Linked DNA regions of Mus musculus. The protein of the gene in region 5 binds, or shares a complex with, the protein of the main gene of each other region. Links are inferred from orthologs where the notes say so. Each region holds a gene or a part of one and is shown on either strand. Other genes may lie near its edges.

Evidence for each region.
Region 1: Chd4 (region 5) and Hdac2 share a complex: the UniProt entries of both Homo sapiens proteins name them as parts of the nucleosome remodeling and deacetylase (NuRD) repressor complex. The link is inferred for Mus musculus from reciprocal best matches to the Homo sapiens genes CHD4 and HDAC2.
Region 2: Chd4 (region 5) and Cdk2ap2 share a complex: the UniProt entries of both Homo sapiens proteins name them as parts of the nucleosome remodeling and deacetylase (NuRD) repressor complex. The link is inferred for Mus musculus from reciprocal best matches to the Homo sapiens genes CHD4 and CDK2AP2.
Region 3: Chd4 (region 5) and Cdk2ap1 share a complex: the UniProt entries of both Homo sapiens proteins name them as parts of the nucleosome remodeling and deacetylase (NuRD) repressor complex. The link is inferred for Mus musculus from reciprocal best matches to the Homo sapiens genes CHD4 and CDK2AP1.
Region 4: Chd4 (region 5) and Mta1 share a complex: the UniProt entries of both Homo sapiens proteins name them as parts of the nucleosome remodeling and deacetylase (NuRD) repressor complex. The link is inferred for Mus musculus from reciprocal best matches to the Homo sapiens genes CHD4 and MTA1.
Region 6: Chd4 (region 5) and Mta3 share a complex: the UniProt entries of both Homo sapiens proteins name them as parts of the nucleosome remodeling and deacetylase (NuRD) repressor complex. The link is inferred for Mus musculus from reciprocal best matches to the Homo sapiens genes CHD4 and MTA3.

Annotation. Positions count from the first base shown.
Region 1 is NC_000076.6:36,988,044-36,991,543, forward strand, and holds part of Hdac2 (histone deacetylase 2), read left to right. Parts: intron 1-36; coding exon 37-111; intron 112-1,106; coding exon 1,107-1,245; intron 1,246-3,500. UniProt on the Homo sapiens protein: Histone deacetylase that catalyzes the deacetylation of lysine residues on the N-terminal part of the core histones (H2A, H2B, H3 and H4).
Region 2 is NC_000085.6:4,095,882-4,099,517, forward strand, and holds Cdk2ap2 (cyclin-dependent kinase 2-associated protein 2), read left to right. Parts: upstream 1-1,469; 5' UTR 1,470-1,544; coding exon 1,545-1,626; exon of another isoform or gene 1,627-1,830; coding exon of another isoform or gene 1,831-1,852; intron 1,853-1,935; coding exon 1,936-2,036; intron 2,037-2,123; coding exon 2,124-2,256; intron 2,257-2,616; coding exon 2,617-2,684; 3' UTR 2,685-3,136; downstream 3,137-3,636. UniProt on the Homo sapiens protein: Acts as a component of the histone deacetylase NuRD complex which participates in the remodeling of chromatin.
Region 3 is NC_000071.6:124,351,829-124,355,862, reverse strand, and holds the start of Cdk2ap1 (cyclin-dependent kinase 2-associated protein 1), read left to right. Parts: upstream 1-1,234; 5' UTR 1,235-1,491; coding exon 1,492-1,546; intron 1,547-4,034. UniProt on the Homo sapiens protein: Inhibitor of cyclin-dependent kinase CDK2. Also acts as a component of the histone deacetylase NuRD complex which participates in the remodeling of chromatin.
Region 4 is NC_000078.6:113,122,278-113,125,777, forward strand, and holds part of Mta1 (metastasis-associated protein MTA1), read left to right. Parts: intron 1-839; coding exon 840-957; intron 958-3,500. UniProt on the Homo sapiens protein: Transcriptional coregulator which can act as both a transcriptional corepressor and coactivator. Acts as a component of the histone deacetylase NuRD complex which participates in the remodeling of chromatin.
Region 5 is NC_000072.6:125,094,837-125,098,780, reverse strand, and holds the start of Chd4 (chromodomain-helicase-DNA-binding protein 4), read right to left. Parts: upstream 2,801-3,944; 5' UTR 2,521-2,800; intron 1,758-2,520; exon of another isoform or gene 1,695-1,757; 5' UTR 1,616-1,694; coding exon 1,516-1,615; intron 1-1,515. UniProt on the Homo sapiens protein: ATP-dependent chromatin-remodeling factor that binds and distorts nucleosomal DNA. Acts as a component of the histone deacetylase NuRD complex which participates in the remodeling of chromatin.
Region 6 is NC_000083.6:83,789,684-83,793,183, forward strand, and holds part of Mta3 (metastasis-associated protein MTA3), read left to right. Parts: intron 1-1,969; coding exon 1,970-2,118; intron 2,119-2,858; coding exon 2,859-3,081; coding exon of another isoform or gene 3,082-3,104; exon of another isoform or gene 3,105-3,194; intron 3,195-3,500. UniProt on the Homo sapiens protein: Acts as a component of the histone deacetylase NuRD complex which participates in the remodeling of chromatin.

The DNA.
Region 1 (3,500 bases), on a different chromosome or scaffold from region 5:
TAATAGATTGACTTTAATGAAGTTCACCTTCCACAGTTAACGTCGGAGAAGATTGTCCGGTGTTTGATGGACTCTTTGAGTTTTGTCAGCTCTCCACGGGTGGTTCAGTTGGTGAGTATCCTAAATCAGTCAGCCTCAAGAGGATCTGAAGGGGTTAGAGTGTCTGTAGGTTTTGTCTAAAGCGGAAGTTGTAATGGTAGTAAGGTTGTGTTGGCTTGATTTTGCTGTATCACCCAGGTGGGCCTCCGTCTCAGCCACCTCTGTGGCTACCTCCCAAATGCTTGCTTACAGACATGTGCTATCATTCCAACTTAATGAGTACCCAAGCTGTCTTGTAGTTCACTGTGGGGCCCGGGCTGACCTTGATATTGTGGAAATCCTCCCCTGGAGCCTCTCAATCATTGGGATTAGAGGCTTGGAATATTATGATATTGCTATTCACTCTTCTGTTAATGTAACAAAACCTGCGGTAACTTTTAAAAGAATGGTTTATCTTGGTTCACAGTTTGGGAGCTTAACTGGCCCTGTCCTTGGGGACTGTGATAGCACATTATGGTATGTGCATTTGGGAGAAGGCCAGTTTACCTCATGGCCGCTGAATGGAGAAAAGAGGATTCCAGTATCCCTTTCAAGCAAGATCAGATCTCCAGTAAACTAAAATCAGATCTTGGCTCTTAGAGAGTCCACCCCCTTCCAGTGGTACCATACTGGTGACTAAATGTTCCCTGGGGTTCTTAGAAGGCATTTCAGGTTCAAAGTAGCAAGTATAATTGTCTTTAAAATGCCAGTGTTTAACAGTTTTTACTTGAACACAGTCTTTAAGCTTGTGTCTTTTTACTCAGAGACCTTTTTCTCCTCTTCTTTCTTCCGCCATTTTTACTAAGACTTTGCATGTGCACTGTGATTTAGTTGGGTAAACTGTAGGAAAATGGTTATCTGAGGAAAGCTTAGGCTCCGAAGTTATAATCCTTTGCTTTTGAATGCCAAACCTTTTGTGCTTACACATGGCATATTTAATAGGGCTTCGCTTATATGTATTTTGTGTAACCTGATTTTTTAAAATTCTGAGTATTTTATAAATAACATAGCATGTATCTCCTTCTTAGCTGGGGCTGTGAAATTAAACCGGCAACAAACTGATATGGCTGTCAATTGGGCTGGAGGACTACATCATGCCAAGAAGTCAGAAGCATCAGGGTTCTGCTATGTTAATGATATTGTGCTTGCCATCCTCGAATTACTTAAGTAAGTTAATTCAAACTGAATTTTCCCTGTGATCAGATCTCTTAATTGAAAGAAAAAAATGATTTTAAAGACTATCAAATAAATGGTAATAGATTAATGCTGAGTCTTCCAGGGTTTGTTGTGAGCCCCTGCAGAAGTGTGAGAAATAGACCACTACAGTGGGAGAGCGAGAGGGCAGACAGTGCCGTGCCTGAGACTGCCGGTAAATGGTCTCTGCTCATTTAGGTTTGCAGTCGTCTAAGCTGATTAAAAATGGCTGCTAGAGATCCGGAAATGTGAATGCTAAAGTAACTTGAAGTCAAGCCTTTGCAACTTGTGTTATAAGAAGTTTGTCTGGCCACTTAGTAGCGTGGCTGACCCCAGTTCTCTCATCCATCCTCTACACAGACACACAGAACACATAGATAATAGACACACAGTGATGCCCAACTGCTGAAGGGGTTTTGGAAGTTATCCTTCACTGCTTTTTCAGAAGTGTGAAGGTCCTTAGGAGTGTGGACACTTGTGAAACTAGCTTATTTTCCACTGTTAGCTATAATGCTGCAGTGAGTTGTATTTCAGCTTTGACTGCAGCTGTGTTCTGTGGGCTTTGAGAGTGATGCTCTTGCCCCGCATGTACATCCCAAGAGTTAACTTCCTGACCTTAAATAAACAGCAGCTAAGTGCTGTCAGTGTAACATATCTGACTCCCCCAACCGACAGAAACCGGAAATCTCCTTCATTGACTTGAAGCTTCTTCCACTGGCTTCAGTTCTAGAGATCTGCTGCTTTTTCCTTCATAGCTTAGTCTTGAGTAAGCCCAGTTCTGTACAGTTCTTCACCTGGTAAATCTGAACATGATTTGATTGGTTTGGTAAGCAGCTCTCTTTGCTCATCTAAACACATTGGGCATTTGATCATGTTTGATTTTGAACTTTATGAAGAAGTTCTGCTATGATGAAGCCCGCTCGCTGTTTGCACTATTTTAGATTTTCTTAGTGTTGCTTTTCTGTGCCTTGAGAACATAAATGCCTGGGTTTGATCATGCCAGCTTACGTTGTATGAGCACAGTTACAGCATCTTTAAATAATAAACAAAATGTTTTAAGTCAGCCACAGTGACAAGATAATCATTTACTACCTTAAATGGTGAATTTAAATTTCATTTTGTATGTATTGGTGTTTTGCCTGCGTGTGTGTCTATGCACCACATGTGTGCAGTGCCCATGGAGGACAGAAGAGGCCGGTAGATCCCCAGGAACTGCTGTAAGAGATGGTTGTGAGTCACCATGTGGGTGCTGGGGATTTAACCTGGATTCTCTAGAAGGCAGCCAGTGCTCCTAACTACTAGTCCAACTTTCCAACACCAGTAGCTTTTTTTAAATACAGTTTTTTTCTATTTGCACTTTGACATAGGGATGGAACTGATGTCATTCTATGGTGGAGTGACTACAGAAGCTCATTTGAGTAGTTGCTGTGACTGGTGGTGTACAGAGCATCAGGGAATGATGAAGGCACTTGTGATCTGTCACAGTCATGAGGTCTTAGTATGCTGTAGATGATGTGTAAAATGTGCTCATCTCGCTGTAAAAGGTGTTTATGGATATGGACATTGGACTGTCTCAGAACTGTCATGTTATAAAATACTCTGAGTTTTGTTTTATTCTTGGACCATTGGAAACCGGGGAGTGGGGTGGCACACCGGCATGCCAGAGGCAGGTAGGTTTGAGATGAGCCTGGATGAGCAGCTATCAAAATAACCACAGGGAAAAGGAAACAACCTATAGTTCTGCTCACTCCAAAGCTGTTGAAAGAATAAAAATAATAACAGCACTATGTTGGTTACAGTTGCCCATAGATTATTTTATAATGCTGAAATTTTTTTAATTGATTTATTTTCACTTTATGTCATTTGTGTTTTGTTTACACATGTGTCTGTGTATGTGTTGGATTACCTGGAACTGGAGTTACAGGTAACTGTGAGCCTGCTGTGTGGGTGCTGGGGACTGAACCTGCGGCCTCTGGAAGAGCAGCCAGTACTGCCAACTGTTGAGCCATCTCCAGCCCTCCCTCCCTCCCTCCATGTTGAGTTGTGTTGTTTGTTTGTTTGAGATAGGGTTCCTCTGTGTAGCCATGGGTCTCCTAGAATTTTCTCTGTAGACCAGGCTGACCTCAGACTCAAGAGACCCACCTGCCTGTACCTCCTGATGGCTGTGATGAAAGGTGTATGTCACTAAGCCCAACAATTCTGAAATTGTGTAATGTAGCCCTTGGCAT
Region 2 (3,636 bases), on a different chromosome or scaffold from region 5:
AGAGCTAGATAGTGAGACCCTTTCTCAGAAAAAAAAAAAAAAAAAAAGTCTAGGGTGTTTTCTCTGACTGTACGTTTGTGTACTACCTGCTTGCTAGGTGCCCACTGAGAACAGAAAGAGATATTGGGCCCCCTGGAAATGCAGTTACAGATGGTTCTGAGGCACTTTATGTAAATGCTTAGAATTCTAACCTGGGTCCTCTGGAGGAGCAGCCTGTCCTCTTACCTGCTAAGCCATCTCTGCAGTCGCTTTTTTAAAAAGTGAGTTGAGGGCTAAAGCAGCAGTTCTGCAGACATATATGCAGACAAAACACTCGTATACATAAAATAGTTTTATTTTAATTTTAAAGTGAATTGATTTCAAGGAAATAGGAACTAGATGGCCAGACCCAGGTGGGAGTTTCATTAATGACGTCAGAACAATAATCAACCATGCTTCAACCCATATGGGGCTGGCTCTCATCTCTATTTCTCTACCCACTTCCAAGTTTACTTTCCAGGTATTACTGTCTTCATGTTTCATGAGAAAACGGAAACCTATTAGGGCAAGAAACTGGCGTGTGACTGTAATCCTTTAGCATTTCCGAGACAAGAGCATCAGGAATTCAAGGTCACCCTCCCCTACCCGGAGAGTTCGAGTTCTGACTGGGCTACTTGAGACCTTGTCTCAATCTCATCCCACCCGCCAAAAAGAGTCCAGGAGGAAACCATTAATGAGGTGTTGAGATTCCAGCCAAGGGTCTTGACCAGGGTCCTGACTTGACCTAACGCAATTCTTGATCTATGATGCTCTATCATTGTCTGTGGAGAGAGTAGGGGACTTAGGGTTCAGTGTCGAGCAGCGTCGTTGGCTGCCTTGGACCCACCTGCCTAGACCGAAGATTCAAACCAATCCAGAGAAGGAGCTTGGTAATGACTTTGGTGAGGGAACCGTTGCCATGGGAACAAATACAGGCCTGAGGCGCGCACATGCGCACAGCCGAAGGGGGGGGGACACGGAACCAGTGAAAGGTGACGTAAAACGCTCGGGGTAGGGCGGAGTGCTCACACTGTGGGAGCCGTGGCCTTGGGAGTTCTGAGCGGAGGGAAGTCGCGAAGCGGTGAGGACGAAGTGTGTTCGGCGGCCCGCCACACACCACCGGAGCAAACCGCGGGGACCAGACTGGCCCGCTGCCGAGGCCCCGCCTCTTGGACCTCGGGACTAATCGGATTGAAAGCGCGCCGGCCCCGGGCCCCGAACTCGCCAATTGAGGAGGACGACTGTCACCGCCCAATCCGGGGCAGACAGGTGCGAGGTCCGGAAGGTGGAGGCCAATCGGCAGCGGTTGCGCCCTGCGGGGGCAAGATTCAGCCAATGAGGAGGCTCGAGTGACAGCTGAGCGCGCCAATCGAGAGTGAGGACCGATCGTGCCCGCCCACCCTTCCGGCCGGAGCTCTATTTACCAGGGGCGTGCAGCTCGCTTGCCAATCAGAGTGCGGCTGAGCTGCCGGACAGCCAACCCCAGAGGAGCGGCCGGCTGGCGGCCGCCGCACTGAGGAGTTGGGATGTCCTACAAACCTATCGCGCCCGCCCCCAGCAGTACCCCGGGCTCCAGCACCCCCGGGCCAGGCACCCCGGTCCCTACAGGTGAGGCTCCAACTCCATCCTTGTTCGCCTTGTCCGGGCAGTCGAGGTCTTGGAGAGAAACCGCTCGAGTTTTGCAATCCGGGGCCTGCTAGACGAGCCTGGCTCAGCCTCAGTTTGCTGGCCTGAGAAGTGGGCGTGGTCACGTAGAGCTTGTAGGTGGAGCGCAGGGGGGAGGAGTGTGTCTCCGAAGTTGTTCAGAGTGGAATGAAGAAGCATGCCGTTGGAGGTTAGTCAAGGGAACAGTCCTGGGCTTGGAAATCTGTGACGAGGCCCTTGTCACACTCTGACCTCTTGCTGGTGTCGTTGCAGCCGGGAGTGTCCCATCGCCATCGGGCTCAGTGCCAGGAGCTGCCGCACCTTTCAGACCGCTGTTTAACGACTTTGGTCCGCCCTCCATGGGGTATGTACAGGTGAGTGTGGCCAAGAGCTTGCTTATGGCTGAGGACAGGAGATCCCCTCGGGGTCTGAGATCACGTCTGTATTTTCTTTTGACACAGGCGATGAAGCCACCTGGTTCCCAGGGCTCTCAGAGCACCTACACGGACCTGCTGTCTGTCATAGAGGAGATGGGCAAAGAGATCCGGCCCACCTATGCTGGTAGCAAGAGTGCCATGGAGCGCCTGAAGAGAGGTAAGTGAAGCCACAGGCCTGCCCTTGCTCTGCCCAGGACACAGACACTGAACTTTAAGACAGTTCAGTAAGGATGGAGGATATCTAGAGTCAGGACAGGACATTTGGGCCAGCCTCGATTGGAACAGAACGTGTACCTAAGGAGGGGTTTTAAATGAACTTTTCCATTTTCAAATGAGTCTGTTTCCAAGAAGGTGCCTGGGAACTCGGATTAGCCAACCCTTAATCCCATCCATCCTCATTAGATTAGAGGTGCTCTTGCTGAACCATGGAGCGGTGGGGGAGTGTCTGCTCTGAAGGGTGGCTGTGGACTGTTTCTGGGGCCCTGTTTATTACTTCCCCATCCTCACCGCACCCCAGGCATCATCCACGCTCGGGCACTAGTCAGAGAGTGCTTGGCAGAGACAGAACGCAATGCCCGCACGTAACAGGAAGCACCTTGACCTCCTCGCCGGGACCTTTCTGGCCACTGCAGAGCGCCTGCTTCTCCCTGGCCTTCGCGCCCCAAGTTGCTTCCTATCCTGGGCTTCCTGTCCTGTGTCCCTTAGTGGGCACCCTCCAGGAACCAGGTAGCAGATCTTCGTCCAGTTGGCTGTACAAACTGGTCTCCTCCCTCTGTGGGAGTGCTGGGAGGCCACTGGGAGTCCCTTCCATGACCTGCTCACAGTGCTGATCTGACGGGAGCTTGCTCCTCTCTGTGGCCCCACCACACAGCACTTACTCCTTAACTCTTAGCCCAGGCCACCTCCTGCCTCTTCAACAGGAGTGCAGAAGACCTTCCTGCCTCATCTCTGGGGCCACAGCCGACTCTTTTTTTGGTGTGTCTTTTACTAAATATGTCCTTTTTGTATAAATAAAAGATGCTTTGGAGTCATTCTCTCAGCCTTTCTGTGTGTGGTTCCTCTGGGGAAGCCTGAGTGGGCAGAGGGGAAGGGCAGAGCAGGAACTGGGAAGGGCGCTTGAACCGAGCTTTGCCTTCCCATCTTGTCCATTGCTACCTCCAGCTCTGCGCCTTGCAGCTGAAGGCCAGACAGAACACCAATGATGTCTGCATAAGGAGGTGCCACCAGGGGGCAGCGTAGGGCTTGGCTGCCTTCACAGCTGGAGGCACTATTGGACAGCCGGAGCCTAAAGGGCCCTTCCTGTAGATTGGCAGGCATGCCTGGCAGGGTGGAAATACCAGTTCACTTAAGCCTCTCCCGTGAACGTCCTAATGCCCCTACACCAGCTCCGCTTTAAAACCATCCTTGGAAGGCTCTAAATACACCGGGTCCCTGACTCCTAAGGGAGGCAGTTAGAGGCTCCTTCCCCCCCACCCCCAGCACCTTGGCTTGATGCTGCTATCCACTGTCCTGACAACTTCCACAAGGCTGGGTGTGG
Region 3 (4,034 bases), on a different chromosome or scaffold from region 5:
CACCAGGAAGCAGTTTGCCAGAAGGAGCCTAAGGGTGCTGCTGGTGGTGGTGGGGGAGGGTGGAAGAGGAGGTCCCCTCTTCTGCACCTTTCGTCCCAAAGAAGGGGGGATTAAGACCCCGGTGGTGGTCCCCTTTTTTTCTCTAGCGGAGAGGCTGACGCCGTTGTCACCAGATCCACAGATGATGTCTAAATATGACTAATTAAAAAAAAAAAAAACCTGCAAACCATGGCGATTAAAAACAACAGAAAAAGGTGGGCGTTTTATGTAATGTGATGAGCATTACTATGCAGGCAGAACTCCAAAATATAGTACCTTTGGAAGGTTATTCATCACATCCCAAATACGTTTGGTTGTGACGTTTCAGTCAGTTTAGAGATGGGCGGGGGCGTGTGTGGGGCGGGATAGGGTGGGGTGGGGAGGGGAAGAGGGGTCCAAAAAAAAAAAAAAAAATGGAGTGCAAACTCCGGGGAGTCGAAACTTTGCCAAGTTCACTCTTGCCTCCTTAGCCTATAAAAACCGTGTCGGGCACACAGTAGGTGCTCGGTTGAAATATTCCAAAGAGTTCGTGTGACAAACGTCATGACGGATGCAAGAGCGAATTTTCTAGTGGAGGTGTCGTTGTCTCTCCATCCAGCTTTTGTCAGTCTCAAAGGCGTCTTGGGTTCCCAAAGGGTTAAAAAAAAAAAAAAACAAACTCACTTAATCCAAGCAGAGACATGACATTTTTTTTTTCCCCGTCTCGAAATAAATGTCAAGAATGGGTTATTCTAATTCTGGGATAGAGCCAGACGTGGGCATCTGGAATGATTTCCGTGAATTAAAAAAAAAACAAAAAAACAAAAAACAACAAAAAAAACCAAAACCAAAAAGAAAAAGAAACCCAAAAAAACCAAAACCAAATCACCCCAATCGCCACCATTTTCTCCAGGTAATTTTCCATCCCTGCCCCCACAGTCAAGAGACACTGAGAAGAAGAAGAAGGAAAAAAAAAAGTACTTCTTCCATCCTCCCTGGCTGTTTAAGAAAAGAGGAAGGCGCGGGCCAATGAGCGGCGCGCGGGAGGCCGGGGCGCGGCGGGGGCGCCGCGGGGACCGCAGCCCCCCAAACTTTGGCAAGTTGCGGGCGGCGGCGCAGCGCGGGGCGCGGCCGCGAGAGGAGCCGCCCCCTCGACGCCCGCCGCCCCCTCCCGGTCCGGCCCCGGCCCAGCACCGACCGGCTGGGCTCAAAGTTTGCGGCCGCCCCTGCGCCGCGCGCCCGATGTATGGGTGATCTACTGCGGCGGCGGCGGCGGCGGCGGCGGCAGGGTGAGGGACGGCCATATTTGCCGGCGCGGCCCGAGCCGGCGACAACAAAAAGTGCGCGGGCTCCCGGCGGGCGCTCGGACGGCTGCGGGGACGTGGGGCCGCCCGGCCCGGGCCTCGGCCTCGGCCTCGCCGGCGCGCTCGCGGCCTGGCCCGGCTCTGCCCGGCGCGCCCGCCGCCCGCGGGGATGTCGTACAAGCCGAACTTGACCGCGCACATGCCCGCCGCCGCCCTCAACGCCGGTGAGTGAGAGCGAGCGAGCGCGGGCCGCGCGCGCCGCCCCGCGCCGCAAGTGTCGCCAAGTTGGGGGCTCGCGCTCCGGGCCGCGGCCCGGGGCTCCCCGGAGGCGCGCGGTGCCTTGGGCGGGCGTGCTGGCCGAGGATGGTGGCGCGAGGGAACGGGGCGGAGGGAAGGAGGTGTCCCGGGCCGGGGCAGCGGGAACGCCACCGCCGCCGACTCAGCCGCGCCGCCGCCGCCATGATTCCGCCGCCTCCGCTGCGCTGCCAAAGTTCGCGGTGCGCCCGGAGCTCGGCGGGGCAGCGGCCGGGGGCTCCCGGTGTGAGCGGCGGGGCGGCCGCGGATGGCGGGGAAGCGAGGACGCGGGCAGCCGAGCGAGGAAGGCTCCCCCCCCCCAGCTCCCCCCCTTTTTCTTTCCCCTTCCCTTAGGCTTTTTGGGCGGCTCGGCGAGGGCCCCTGCCGGCGGGAGGCGGGCGACGCAGTGAGCAAGGAGCGGGGCTCGGAGGGTCGGCGGAGCGGGACAGGCTGGGGCCGAGCCGGGTGCAGGGCGGCCGCGGGCCCGGGAGGGAATCTGGCCAGGGTTCCGGGCGGCGGGCCCGGTGGGCAGGGGCCGCTTCCTGGCGATGAGAGCGACTCCCGGGTTCCTTCCCCCGGCCCTCGGGAGACCCCTTGGAAGAAGTTGCAGTGCCCCGGCCTCGTGGGTTCTGTGGGCGGCATGCTGCGGCTCGCCGGTCCCGGGGGTCCCCATCTCAGATCTCCCACGTGGGGACGTCCCCGCAGGGCCGCGCTGCGCAAGCCAAGTGGACCTGGTCTCCCTTCCCCTCCGGGCCTGGGCGCCGCCGAGGAAACTCTTGCAAAGTTCCCAGGCAGCTTTGGGCTGTGGCTGGGGGCTAGCCCCGGACCCCAAGGGAACCCGGAATAGGGATGTGAAACTGACTTCCAGAGGTGACTGGCTTTGTGTCCAATTCCAGTACCCTCTCCTCCCAGACATTTGGCTGTGAGCAGACCACCCCAAGTAGTCTGATGCCCCAACAGATGCCAAGTAGTGGGGACCAGGAGGGATAAGGCCTTTGGGAGGAGTTGGGGGTAGAAGTTGGTTATGGTCGCTGTGTGTTAAAAATCCCACCCGCGTTGGCACTTCCAAGTTGGAGGTCTTGTGTCCAAATGTTGATTCCAGAACTCCAGAAACCCTCAGAGGGACCTGGAAAAGCTCTGGACGTGTGTTTTAAACCACTTCTCTGCTCTTTGGGGTTTGGAAAAGGTTGAGATTTAGGGTGCCAGCCTGGGAGAGTTGAAACGCTAGCACGTGGGCACAAAGACCCCCCCCCCCCAAGAGCATGCAGTCACTGTATCTTTTCAAATGGTTTCACTCCCTTTGGGTGACAGGATTTGTCGTCAGATATGATTTTTGCCTCTCAGTCTTCTTGGTCAGTGTTTGGGATGGAAGGGCAGTAGGTTGCGTTGCCAGCCCTAGGGAGACCAGAGACGTAGGCTTGATCTGGGCTAGTTTCCCGTGTGTCTTACACTGGGGACCTTTTGGGGTGTGGGTCCCAGTGCAGACCGCCCCTGGGACTCTGAAGCCCTGTTCTGGGCTTGCTAGCACCTGTATTCAGCTGTAGTTATTTTGCCAATGGGGAATGCCAGGATGCGTGCGGGGGTCTCCAGGTGTTCGGCATTTTGGTGGGGGCCCGCCCGCTTGCCGGTATTACTTTGCAGAAAGCCCTTCTCTCCCCTGCCATCTGCATCCAAGATGGACTCTCACAGTGGCTCCTCCGCCTTCCCTGTCATCATCTCTCACGCCCTCCAGGCCTGCCTCCTGCTCACTGAGTTGCCAAGCTGCGGCCTGGCCGGCAGTGGCAGTGGCGGAGTTAGACAAAGCCCCCGCCTTCCCCCGCCCGAGAGCCCCCCCCCCCCAGGGCGCCCCAAGTGGCGGGAAGGCCGCCAGCTCCCCAGGCCCAGGCCGCTCTTTGTCTGGCATGGGGGCGGGGAGCTGAGCCTGGCCCCAGGAGCTTCCTGGCCTCTGCCAAGCCCTCTCAGCTCTCTCACACTGCGCTCATTGTCTGAGATGCTCCACACCGGCTGAGCTGACGTGGAACCGCCTCCCTGGCCTCCTTCAGCCCAGGTGCCGGTGTCTTCCGGAAGAAGGGGGCATGATGGGCGGAGGAGCCCCCTTCCACCCTGAATCCCTCCCGGGGGGTGGGGGAGACAGACACCTTCCCTAATACTGCATATGGTGCTGGCTTTGACGCAAAGTCAGGTTTATCTCCACTCCTCCGGGGTGGTGGAAAATAGGCTTGAGGTCCTCCACCAGTATGGGGGGTACTTCTCATTCTTTCTGTATCCCCACTCCTCTAAGGGCATTCCCAAAGCCTTTAACCCTTCCATTGGGAAATATGGCCTCAAACAAGTAGAGAAACTGAGGCCTGGAAGAGCCTTGGCTGGTCCTACAGCCAAGTGGCACTGCTGGGACAGACCCCCAAGTCCTGGAGAAAA
Region 4 (3,500 bases), on a different chromosome or scaffold from region 5:
GGGCCAGCTGCCAAGGAGCTGTGGATGAGCTGGGCAATAGACCCAGGAACAGGGAGCACTGAGGGCCCAGGTGGTGACGGGAGGGAGGAGGGTGACCTTGGGCCCAGGAGACCACTACTCAGAACTAACACCATGCTGATTGTATGGAGTGAGGCTGGGCTTAAAGCCTGACACAGGAAAGATTAAGAAAGGCTGTGTTGTGTGAGTGTCAGCCTGCTGGCCAGGCACAGAGCATCAGAGTCAGCCATGAGGATGCAGCCTGGTATGGTCTGTAGCGCTGTGCTTGGTGCCTCTTCATGTGCTTGCCTGCCTTCAGCATGGAGAATTTATTCCTAGATACCATGTTTTTTTTTTTTTTTTTGCGCTCATAAGTTGATTTCCCTGCTCCCCTCCCCCCATCCCCCAGGGGTAGTGGTGATGTTTGAGACAGGTTCTCATGTAGCCCTGGCTGTCTTGGAGCGCACTATGTAGACCAGGCTGGCCTCACTCACAGAACTCTGCTTGTTTCTGATTCTCAACTGCTGGGGTTAAGGGAGTGTGCCACTGTGCCTGGCCTTCATTAGCTGAGTTTCAAAAGGTTGCAGTGACAGAAAGACAGTGGCTTTTGTGAGGGGGCTGTACACAGCAGCCTTGAGAGCCCCTCACCAGGCAAGTACCCTCTAGCAGTTTGATGAGGACTCACCTAGTCCTTACTTCACTTCTGTTGCTGCAGGGCTTCTGCCCTGGGTCCTGGACAGGCAGGACCACATCCCTCACCCTCAGAACTGGACTGGCTTGTTGGATGCAGCTAGAAGAGAACACTTGTCTGACACCTCTGTCTTGTATGTGGTATTTTTCAGGATTTCTTCTTCTACTCTCTAGTCTACGACCCACAGCAGAAGACCCTCCTGGCTGATAAAGGGGAAATTCGTGTAGGAAACCGGTACCAGGCTGACATCACTGACTTGCTGAAAGAAGGTGAGGTTCAGGCTGGGCCAGCAGCATGGAGGAGGCTGGAGGTAGTACTTGTAGCTTTTACCTAGGCTTCAGCTCCTCCAAGCCTCCGTCCTAGTGGACATTGGCATCCAGCCGCAAGGCTCAAACCCTAGAGCCGCCTGTTGAGCCCTGTGGCTCCTTGACCTCGGATTTCCCTTTGGTAGCTCATTATGAGTTTGATTTTATACTGTTTCTGCTAGGAAAGTATTCTGCCACGTGCCACATTCCCACCCTTGTTCCTTACTTATTTTATTCTTTTGCCTGCATGTATGTCAGGGCACCACTTGTGTGCAGTGTCTATGGAAGTCAGAAGGCATTAGGGTTAGAGAAGGTTGTGAGCCTCCCTGTGGGGGCTAGGAGGTGAGTGAGCCCAGGTTTCCTGGGAAAGCAGTCAGTGCTGTTAACCACTGAGCCATTTCCCCAGCTCCATCCCATGTTTTTTGAGACAGGGTCTCATTTATTTATATAGCCCAAACTGACCTTGAACTTGCCTTCCTCTTTGGCAAACCATCACACCTGGCTCATTATAATTCTACATTCATGGTGTGTGTGTGTGTGTGTGTGTGTGTGTGTAGAGTCTGGTTTTTCATTCCCCAATGTGAGACTCAGGAATCCAATTTGTCCTTCAAGTCCTTAGTGTACTTTGGAGGTCAGAGGACAATTTGTAGAGTTGGTTCTGTCCTCTCACGTGGTTCTGGAGGCTGAACTCAGGTTGTCAGGCTTAGCAGCAAGCACCTTAGCGTACTGAGTCATCTCACCAGCCCCTCCCCATTCGGGGGGTTAAAATGTCTGTCTGTCTGTCTGTCTTCCTTCCTTCCTTTCTTCCTTCCTTCCTTCCTTCCTTCCTTCCTTCCTTCCTTCCTTCCTTCCTTCCTTTCATTCATTCATTCATTCATTCATTCATTCATTCATTCATTCATTCATTCATGTAGGGGTTTAGTCAGGAATGCCCTACAAGAATTGAGTCTATCCTAGGTGGCAGCAGAGATCAAACTCAGGTTGTCAGGCCTGGTGGGAAGTGCGAGCAGATTGACATGAGCTGGCTCAGACCTGGCATCCAAGGCGTGCAGGTCCCTTCCACATCTCGCCTCAGCATCCCTGGCAAAATGCTCTGATGGGCTCCAGATGCTCTGTCTCCTAAGGAAGCACTCAGCCTCTGACCCAGTCAGGCTCCGCATTTCTGGAACTGTTGGCTTAGCTGGGACTGGGGGCTCAGAGAGCACCACTTCCGTGCACCAAGTCTCTGAGGCAATTGCTGTTTGGTTGTTTTGGGGGCCTCAGCTACAGCTTGTCATATGCTAGGACAGTGTGCTGCCTTCAGGGTGGCTGGCCCGACGTAGCACCTGTTTCCTGCGTTTTCCATGCCCTTCCCTTTGCCTTGTGGTTTCTGTTTGATTTTCTGGTGTTTGTTGGACCTCAGAATGAGGTGCTAAGCCCACTTGGGTGGCAGCTGGGTGTGGCCTGGCTGTTGGAGTAGGTGCGTCCCTCTGAGCTGTGTATGGGAGGCTGGTCTTTTCTGACTTCTGTTCCGTGCTTGAGCCTCGTTACCCTGTCTCTAACACCTGGGCCTCCAGATGCCCATGCACAACCTCATAGCCAGAGCCAGCCAGTTGCTGCCTGTTCAGCTTATTCCCCAAATAGCCCCAGCCTTAAAGCTCTGTAGACAGGCCTGAACTCTGTCCAGCCTCCTAACTCTGAAGCCACGGTATCCGCTTTCTCAGCCTGACTGAAGGGAAGTGTCAGAGGGAAGTGTCAGAGGCCAGCCGAGGCTGTCACAGTCACATGAACTTACACAGGGACCAGAGAGGTGGGAGAGGTCTCAAAGGTCAGAGGACCTTGCTTTCAGCCTCTGTTTCTCAGAATCAAGCTGCTCCAGGTGTCCCAGGCATGTGTGGGCTCATTGGCTAGTGCTAGGAGAACCCCCAAGAAAGCTATGCTTTGTCTGTGGGGCCTGCCTGTGAAAAAAAGCAGGACCTCAGGGGAGTCTCCAGCTACCACAGTGTCCTCCTCCTTCCTAGTCTCTGCAGCCTTTCGACACAAAGGTCAGCGGCTTCCCCATGGTATCTGTCTTCAAATTAAGCTTTTAGCCGGGCGTGGTGGCACATGCCTTCAATCCCAGCACTTGGGAGGCAGAGGCAGGCGGAGTTCTGAGTTCAAGGACAGCCTGGTCTACAGAGAGAGTTCCAGGACAGCCAGGGCTACACAGAGAAACCCTGTGTAATTTAAAAAATTAAACTTTTAGAATATGTGTGTGTGTGTGTGTGTGTGTGTGTGTGTGTGTGTGTGTGTGTGTGTGTACACACCTCCTGTCTGGACAAGACCAGAAGTGTTGCATCTCTTAGAGCTGGAGATACTAATGTTTGTGAGCTCTGGTAGACAGGAGTACTGGAAATTGGAACTTAAGACCTTTGGAAGAGCAATGTATGCTCTTGACGGCTGAGCCATGTCTCCGCCCCAGTGTGTGCATTTTGAATGATGACATGGAATGCTTGCCTTCATTCACTGTATTGGAAATTTCAAAGTGA
Region 5 (3,944 bases):
GGGCCCCTTTCCACCCACACACAGCCCTCCAACTCCTCAGGCCCATCACGCTGCATGCCATAGAGGGAGATTTGGGAAAGGGGCAGAACTGGGTGTGGCCAGAGGAAAAACTGGGTCATGCTACAGATTGGGGCAGAGTTCACACTGAGAGCCTGCAGTGCTCCCACTTGGGAGGGAAGCCCCAGACCTTCAAGCAAGGGGTTATGGCTAAGATGGGAAGCAACGCTGGTCAGACAGCATCACCCAGCCTCTCATAAAGACAAGGAAGGAAAAGTAAGTCTTCCTCCTTACCCACCTCACCCTCGCAAAGGCAGAGCTCCGCAGGCCTACACCTCAGTGATCAGACACAGATCTAAGTCCCTTATCTCAGCAGCCTAGGACTCAGCAGCAAGAATAATGGCTCTCTTAAATGACAAATTTGAAAATGATTTCTTCTGGATATCTCACCCTCCAGTTGGGGCTCAGGAAAAGGCAGAAGTGAGAGCCATGCCGTAAGGAACAAAAAACAGGACAGCCAGGCTTCACAGGGTAGTAACCAGGACAGCCGGGCTCCACGGTGTAGGAAACTACGTGGACGCAGAGAAGATACCGACCTTGCAATGAATGTGGGGGAGTCAAGCCAATAGGTGCCTTAACTAAGGGGGCTCTAAATAAGGAGACAAGAGAAAGACATCCACTTCCAAGCATGACATCAGCCATCACTTGAGGGCAGGCACTCAGGCAAGATGGTTATAATAATACGGGTTTAGCCAGTCCAGGGAGCAACCCCAAAACACAGTGCAAACCCTAACACACCCACACAAACACCTCACGCCACCAATCCAGACCAGACCCCAAGCTACCTCAGAGTGGCGGAAGCCCCTAGTAAAGATCCAAGATTATGTCCACACCAAGGGCCAATTCCCTCCCTCTGCCCTCACTAGGCTACTGCATGCTGCCTCTCCTAGCCCTCCATCCTTCTCCACTCAAAAAAATCCCAACAATCTGACTAACAAAGTTCTACAGATCTGATAAAGAGTGAGATTCAAACTTTACACTCTTGAAACAGCACAGAGAACCCGTAAGAGATCGGGACAGAAAGCAACCAACACTCTCGCTTTCTTCTCCAGGGAACAACCGCGGGATCCCAGATGCCTGGCAGGGCTCCCGCAACAGAAATCCCCACCGCACCCCACCATGTCACCACCAGAGTCGGAACCACCTGCATTCCTCCAAGAACCTGCACGAGGTAAAGCTAACCCAGAGAGCTCCCTCAACCGGGGACTGCGGAGCATTCCAGACAGCCTTGAGTGAAGCCAGCTTGCATCTGGGTCCGTGGTGCCCAAGAGGCACATGGCTTCCACCTCCCCCAGCACCCCCCAGCACACAAGAGCTCCGCAGAAAAGAACCACTCCCTTCGGATGCCCTCCACCCTGGGTTCTGCACAGGGACAAGCAGCGCGCGAACGCAGCCTCACTGGAGTCTCGAGGAAAGATCAAACATCTTCCTGCCCTGGGCCCTCCGGGAAGATGTTACCTGGATGGGGTGGGGGCAGGCTGTTGTTCAGAAGTGCGTCCATATCCTCCTCCTCACTGCCCGCTGAGCAGGGGGACGGGGAGCCCAGGCCCGACGCCATCCCCTTCCGTTCCCCGGCCAGGGAATTGGCCCAGCTGCTCCTGCCTGCGGCCTGGGGCCCTCTGCACTGGCCCGAGTCACTGTGCGGGGGAGGGGGGAGAACAGTGAGTGACGCGCAGTCCCCCTCCCCCACCCGCTCTTTCCGCCCCCCTGCCCTACCACCCTAGCCAAGCACCCGAACCACTCAGGCTGAACTTAGTTCCACACTCCTCGGGGACAGCCCGTGAGCCGGCTCCCCAGCAGGAGCCCCCAAGAAGAGGGAATGACGCCCCCGAGGGCAGGCTGGTGCATGGAGGGGAAGGAAGAAGCTAGCCTGGCCTGAGCCAGGAGTGCCTGGGGAGTGGGGTTCGAGTGGGGAGGCGCGGAGAGGGTCAGGGGAGGCGGCCGGTGCTCGGGGACACAAGGTCACTTGGGAGTGGGGGGGCGCTCCTCTGCGCCCGGGGAGGGGCCAGTCCCCAGACAGGGCAGCTCTCCAAAGGCTGTCCTCTGGGACAACTCAGGTTCTCTTCCGGAACGGCGGGGACCAGGGGGCGTGGAGGCTCGGGCGCTCCGGGGTCCCGAAGAGTCGGGACGCCGGAGGAAAGCGAGCACCCACCGGGAAGGGGGCCGGGCCACGTGTCCCGGGGGGCTAGCGAGCAAAGGGCGAGGGGCGGGCGGGCAGGCGCTCGCCCGGCATTGTGGGAGGCCGAGCCCAGGAGGGGGGGGGGGCGGGGAGCAGGACTCCCTCAGGGCAGGGCGCCGTCTGGAGGTAACCCGGCCGCCTCCGGGGAAGAAGGGTCGGCTCCCTGGAGAGGGGACGGCCCGCGGGCCCCGGGACGCCTGAAGAAGGGACAGGTGAAGGAATGACCCCCGGGACGACGTCGGGCTGAGAGAGATGTCTCTCCCGTTGCCTCGCGCGCTCCTCACCCTAGAGCCGCCTCAGGTCGCGCTGGGTCTCGCCGGTGTCACTCCCGCTCCAGCTCCTCCTCGCCGCGGCCGAAGGGGGGAAAATGGCTCCGGCTCCGGCGTCGCCTCTTAAAGGGCCCGAAACACCGGCCGGGAAATCCCACCGCACAGGCCCCGCCCCCCACGGACAGCCCATAATAACCTCAACCAACTCCAACCCCCCCCTCCACTACCGCCACCCTCCTCTTTAGGTCTCCCGGGCAACCCCCGCCCCCTCGTCGCTCAGGCAACCATTGGCCACGCCCCCGTCGAGCGCGCGCGCGCGTCACCTGGGCAACCGCCCACCTCCTGGCCATCCCATAATACACACGGACACCCCACATACACACACCCCGCCCCCCACACTCTATGCATATATGTGCCCGGGGCTACAGACATATAGTGCAGATCTTTTACAAACTAAAACCTGCTCCCCCTCCCTTAGATAACCCATAATAACCACTCTTTGCCAACTTCTTCACTCTTGGCCTTACTGCTAACATCCCATAATAACTCATTACCCCTCCCTCCCCTTGGCCATCCCATAATAAGCACCCCTCCCAGCACTTCAGCCTCATATCCCATAATATTCAACCCATCCCCCACCGACATCCCATAATAACCACCCCCAGTTTGACATCCCATGATTGTCAGAAACTCACCCACCCCATACTACAACAACGGACACTGGGCCTCCTCCCACACGGATCCCGTAATAATCAGTCTCCCACTTTCTATACTGATATCCCATAATATCCAACCCCCCCAGAGCTGCCCTCAGTCCCTGCACTAGGGTTGAGATTCTAGATGCTCACTTTACCACCCACAGCCTTCCCAGTCTCTTTCTAGCTCCATGGTCCATAAATTACCATTCCTCCTAGCAAAGAGATACTCACTAATGATCAGCAGCTCTGCTGTCACCCCACAAATGGACATCTAAATCTCCTCCACTAACACTGGGAAAATGTCCTATCATTTACTCTATCTACTCTCCCATCCCATAATTTCAAAAAGCCCACGATACCATAATTGTCCCAACACAACCCAGTGCCACATCCCATAATACTTCTGCTACACTCCATCACCGCACACAGGTCTGGCCAGACATCCCCTAATTGTCACAACCTCCCCCACCTCTAGAAGTTGTCAGGCTCTTCCAACTAGAGCAGAGAGGGTGTGGCAAACTGCTAACTGCCCTGTCCCCACTAGCACACACTTTAGTCCCTTCCTGGGCAATAGGAGCATTCTGGGCTCTCAAAGTTCAGGACCCCCAGACTTCCTAGCTCATCATTTGCAGACACTCAGGAACCAAGAGCCAACCTCGAGCCCCAACAAACCCCACCAAATCCAGGTATGTTCTAGATACTTACCTCCCTCCAGCTTTGAATGTTTGTGTAAACTCAAAC
Region 6 (3,500 bases), on a different chromosome or scaffold from region 5:
AGGCAGGGTCTCCCTCGAGCACAGGCTGGCCTCCAACTCGCCACCCCCTTGCCTCAGCATCCTCTGGAGAGATTGGATCACAGACATGTGCCACCACAGCCCAACTCTATTTCTTCTTCTATGTGTGCACATTCCTATGTGGGTATACACGTGTGCAGGTGGACGTATGTATATGTGTCCTTGGTGCCCTCATCTGGATGTCAACAGTCAAGTTGGGGACTAGAGAGCTAGCTCAGGGGTAAAGAGTCTAAGGAAAAGTATCAGCCCAGGATCAGGTTCTCACACAAAGGAGAGCCAGTTGCCCCAGAAGGACAGAGGACAGGGAATAAGAGACAAACATAGGAGATGGAGGATGAGGAGGAAGGAGAGGAGGCGGGGGGAGGGGTGTCTGTCTCATTGAGGCCTCTGCAGAGAGAGGAGACGGACGAGCGCATAGGCAAATGGAGGCTTATAAAGGTACAAGGGGAGTCTTAGTGTTAGAGTGAGGTGACTAATTTTAATTGGGCATGTTAATTAGATGAGCCAAAGGGGGCTTTGGATTGCAGAGACTTTGATTGCTGGACCTTGGTAGTCAGCCTAAGGAGGAGGAAGTGGCCAAGTAAGGAAATAGGCCTTGTGGTTAGCTTTAGGGATGTAGTCTAACGGTTTTCAGTAAGGCAGAGGGAATGAGGGAGAAGGGTACGGCCTGCCAGAGCCATGCCTGCCACGCTCCACTCTCACCACTCTCCAGCGGGTGCCCTGATCTTGCAGAGGGCCTGAGTGTGGTTGCCAGCACTCACATCAGGGGCACACAATCAACTGTCACTTTAGCCCCAGGTGTGCCCGGCACCTTTGGCCTTCTAGGGCACCTGTACTCATGACACATGCATATAATGAAAATGTTGGTGCAAAATCTGCCTGGAAAAAGCCAACTTTATTATATGTTTTAAGTTAAAAGGGGAAAGGGGTTTGGCCTGGCTTGAAAGGAATTTTCCAAGAGCGGCACATGATGGAAGTTATTCTGAATTGGCTAAAGGCAACTACAACTACGTGTAGTAGTCTATTTTCTGGCTCTTTTGGTGTGGGTAGGGGACTGGACCCAGGGGCTTTCCATGCCCAGCCCAGGTCTAGTGCTAGCGGTAGTCCAGCTCTGCATGCTGGTTTGTGAGGTGTTCTTAGTGGACACCCTCCTGTGCTTGCTGACTTACAGGCAGGGACAACCGTTCAAACAGGCTCTGTGTAGTAGTCCGGGCCTGCATGTTTAACTGTGTTGCACCTCCTCGGTTCCCATCGCTCTTTGGCTCCGCTTCGGGAAGCTTTTCATGTGGGACCCAAGTGTGAGCGGCAGAAGCTGACACAGGCTGTGTGTCCAGCCAAACAGTAAACCAGCTGGGGTCAGGCCTTACTAAGCATGGTGCATAGGAGCTGTGCTCTGCTCACATGATAGGGACTTTCTGTATTCAGGAAGAAATTCTAAAGTGAGATTTTGTTTCCCGAGGAAAGAAACAGCAGGCAGGTTTCTGATTTTACCTGGCTCTCCTGACTTAGCAGTGAGTCCTCTCTTCAGGACCGTAGCAATCCTTAAGAGAGCTTCTAAACCACTCTGTTCAGGTTTTCCACACTGCCAAGGAGCTTCAGAGTAATAGTCATATCCATGGAAAGACTTATTTCTAGACATGTATATAATGAAGTAAATTTTAATTAACAAAATAAAGTCTCAGCAGCCTGAGGCATAAGTCAAGATGTGGCTCCTCTCAATAGATGTGACAAACATTTGATGCGTGCTGGAAACAAGCAACTTAGTATCTTCGGGGTACTGAAAACCGCACTCGCACATCTTGTGTGTGTTCATGCTTGGCCTACAGCCTTAGGAACTGGCTGTAGACAGGCCCATGCAATGCACTGTAAGGGAGCCGTGGCTTCAGGGTGTCTCTGAGGTTCCATTAATTTGAGATCATGGATTTCCTGGTCCCTTCCCCTCTGTCTTTAGCCACACAGTCTCATCAGTGGTATTCCTGGGGCCCACCTAACATGCAGTGTAGACTCTGCGCGACCTGTTGGCTGTATTGGAAAAAGTATGGAGGTCTGAAAATGCCTACCCAGTCAGACGAAGAGAAGTCTCCCAGCCCGACTGCAGAGGTATGTGGGAGGGGTCTGCAGGTTGAAAATGCCACATTTCCTGGCTATTGGCCTCTTCCTTGGAAGCAGAAATGCAACACAGAACTACTTACAAATATGAGCAAAACTGGGATTTAGTGCTGTATACTCACAGTGGGTGTGAACACCAGAGCCGGGAAAAATGGGAATTTTTCCCCAGGTATTCAAAATATTGGTCTTTTGAGATTATTCAGGGGGGAAAAAAAAGGATAGTGTGTGTGGGAGGTGTTTGCCTGAGAGGAGAGCTTACAAATTGTCTTGTTTTTAAAAACAACTTGTAACCTTTAGATACTGATGAGAACACTTTATTATATAACATAGCAAACACAAATTAAGCCTTTTCTTTCCTTGGTTATTGTGGAGGGACGAAAAGGGCCCAGTCTTGAGTGAACCATAGTTGAAAGATGGCCTTGGTAAATCCGTGTAGATGAAGGATGTCTACCAGAGGAAGGCAAGTCCGGAATCTTAGGATTCCTTACAAATAATAAACATCCCACAGGGCCACTCGATCAATCGATTGATCGATCGGGCAGCTTCTCACCAATGGTGCCTATGATCTGAGACTGAGTTCCACCCCTGCCCTGCGCACTCCCTGCGTTCTTCCCAGTCGGGCACACTGCGTTTCCCTCGAGGGGCAGGTTCCTGAGTGACAGATGCTTCCACGTGGCTGTGTGCTTTGGCAAGTTCTCTTCTGAAAATACCATTGTTTTTCACAATTACAGGACCCGCGCGCAAGAAGCCACATGTCCCGGCAGGCCTTGCAGGGCATGCCGGTCCGGAACACCGGAAGCCCCAAGTCTGCAGTGAAGACCCGCCAAGCTTTCTTCCTTCGTACTACGTATTTCACAAAAATTGCTCGTCAGGTCTGCAAAAGCACCCTGCGGCTGCGGCAGGCAGCGAGACGGCCGTTTGTTGCTATTAATTATGCTGCCATTAGGGCAGAATGTAAGACGCTTTTCAATTCTTAACCTTCCGCGTTCCGCTCCTTGCCATCCTCTCTCTCCCTCGCTCTCTCTTTTTGTTTGTTTGTTTGCAATAAACATAAGTTCTTGTGTACAGCCTTTGTTTTTTTTTTTTTTTAAACATTGTTCTTGTCTGCTGCCATTTATATCATGCCACCCTGAAAAACAACATCAAAATCCCTGTAAATTTTCAGAGTAGCACTAATCAGAAGGTGGGGGAGGTGTCCGGACCGAGCGGGCTTTTGTGGCACAGTTGCCCAGAGGGACCTTAAGTGATGCACGTCTACCAATTTGGTAGCGTGGCAGTGTAAACTCAATAAAAGCTCTAAGGAGACATCACAACCCAGTCTTAAGGGTTCATGAGGTTTTAATAAAATTTGCTAATTTCTACTAGTTAGGAAT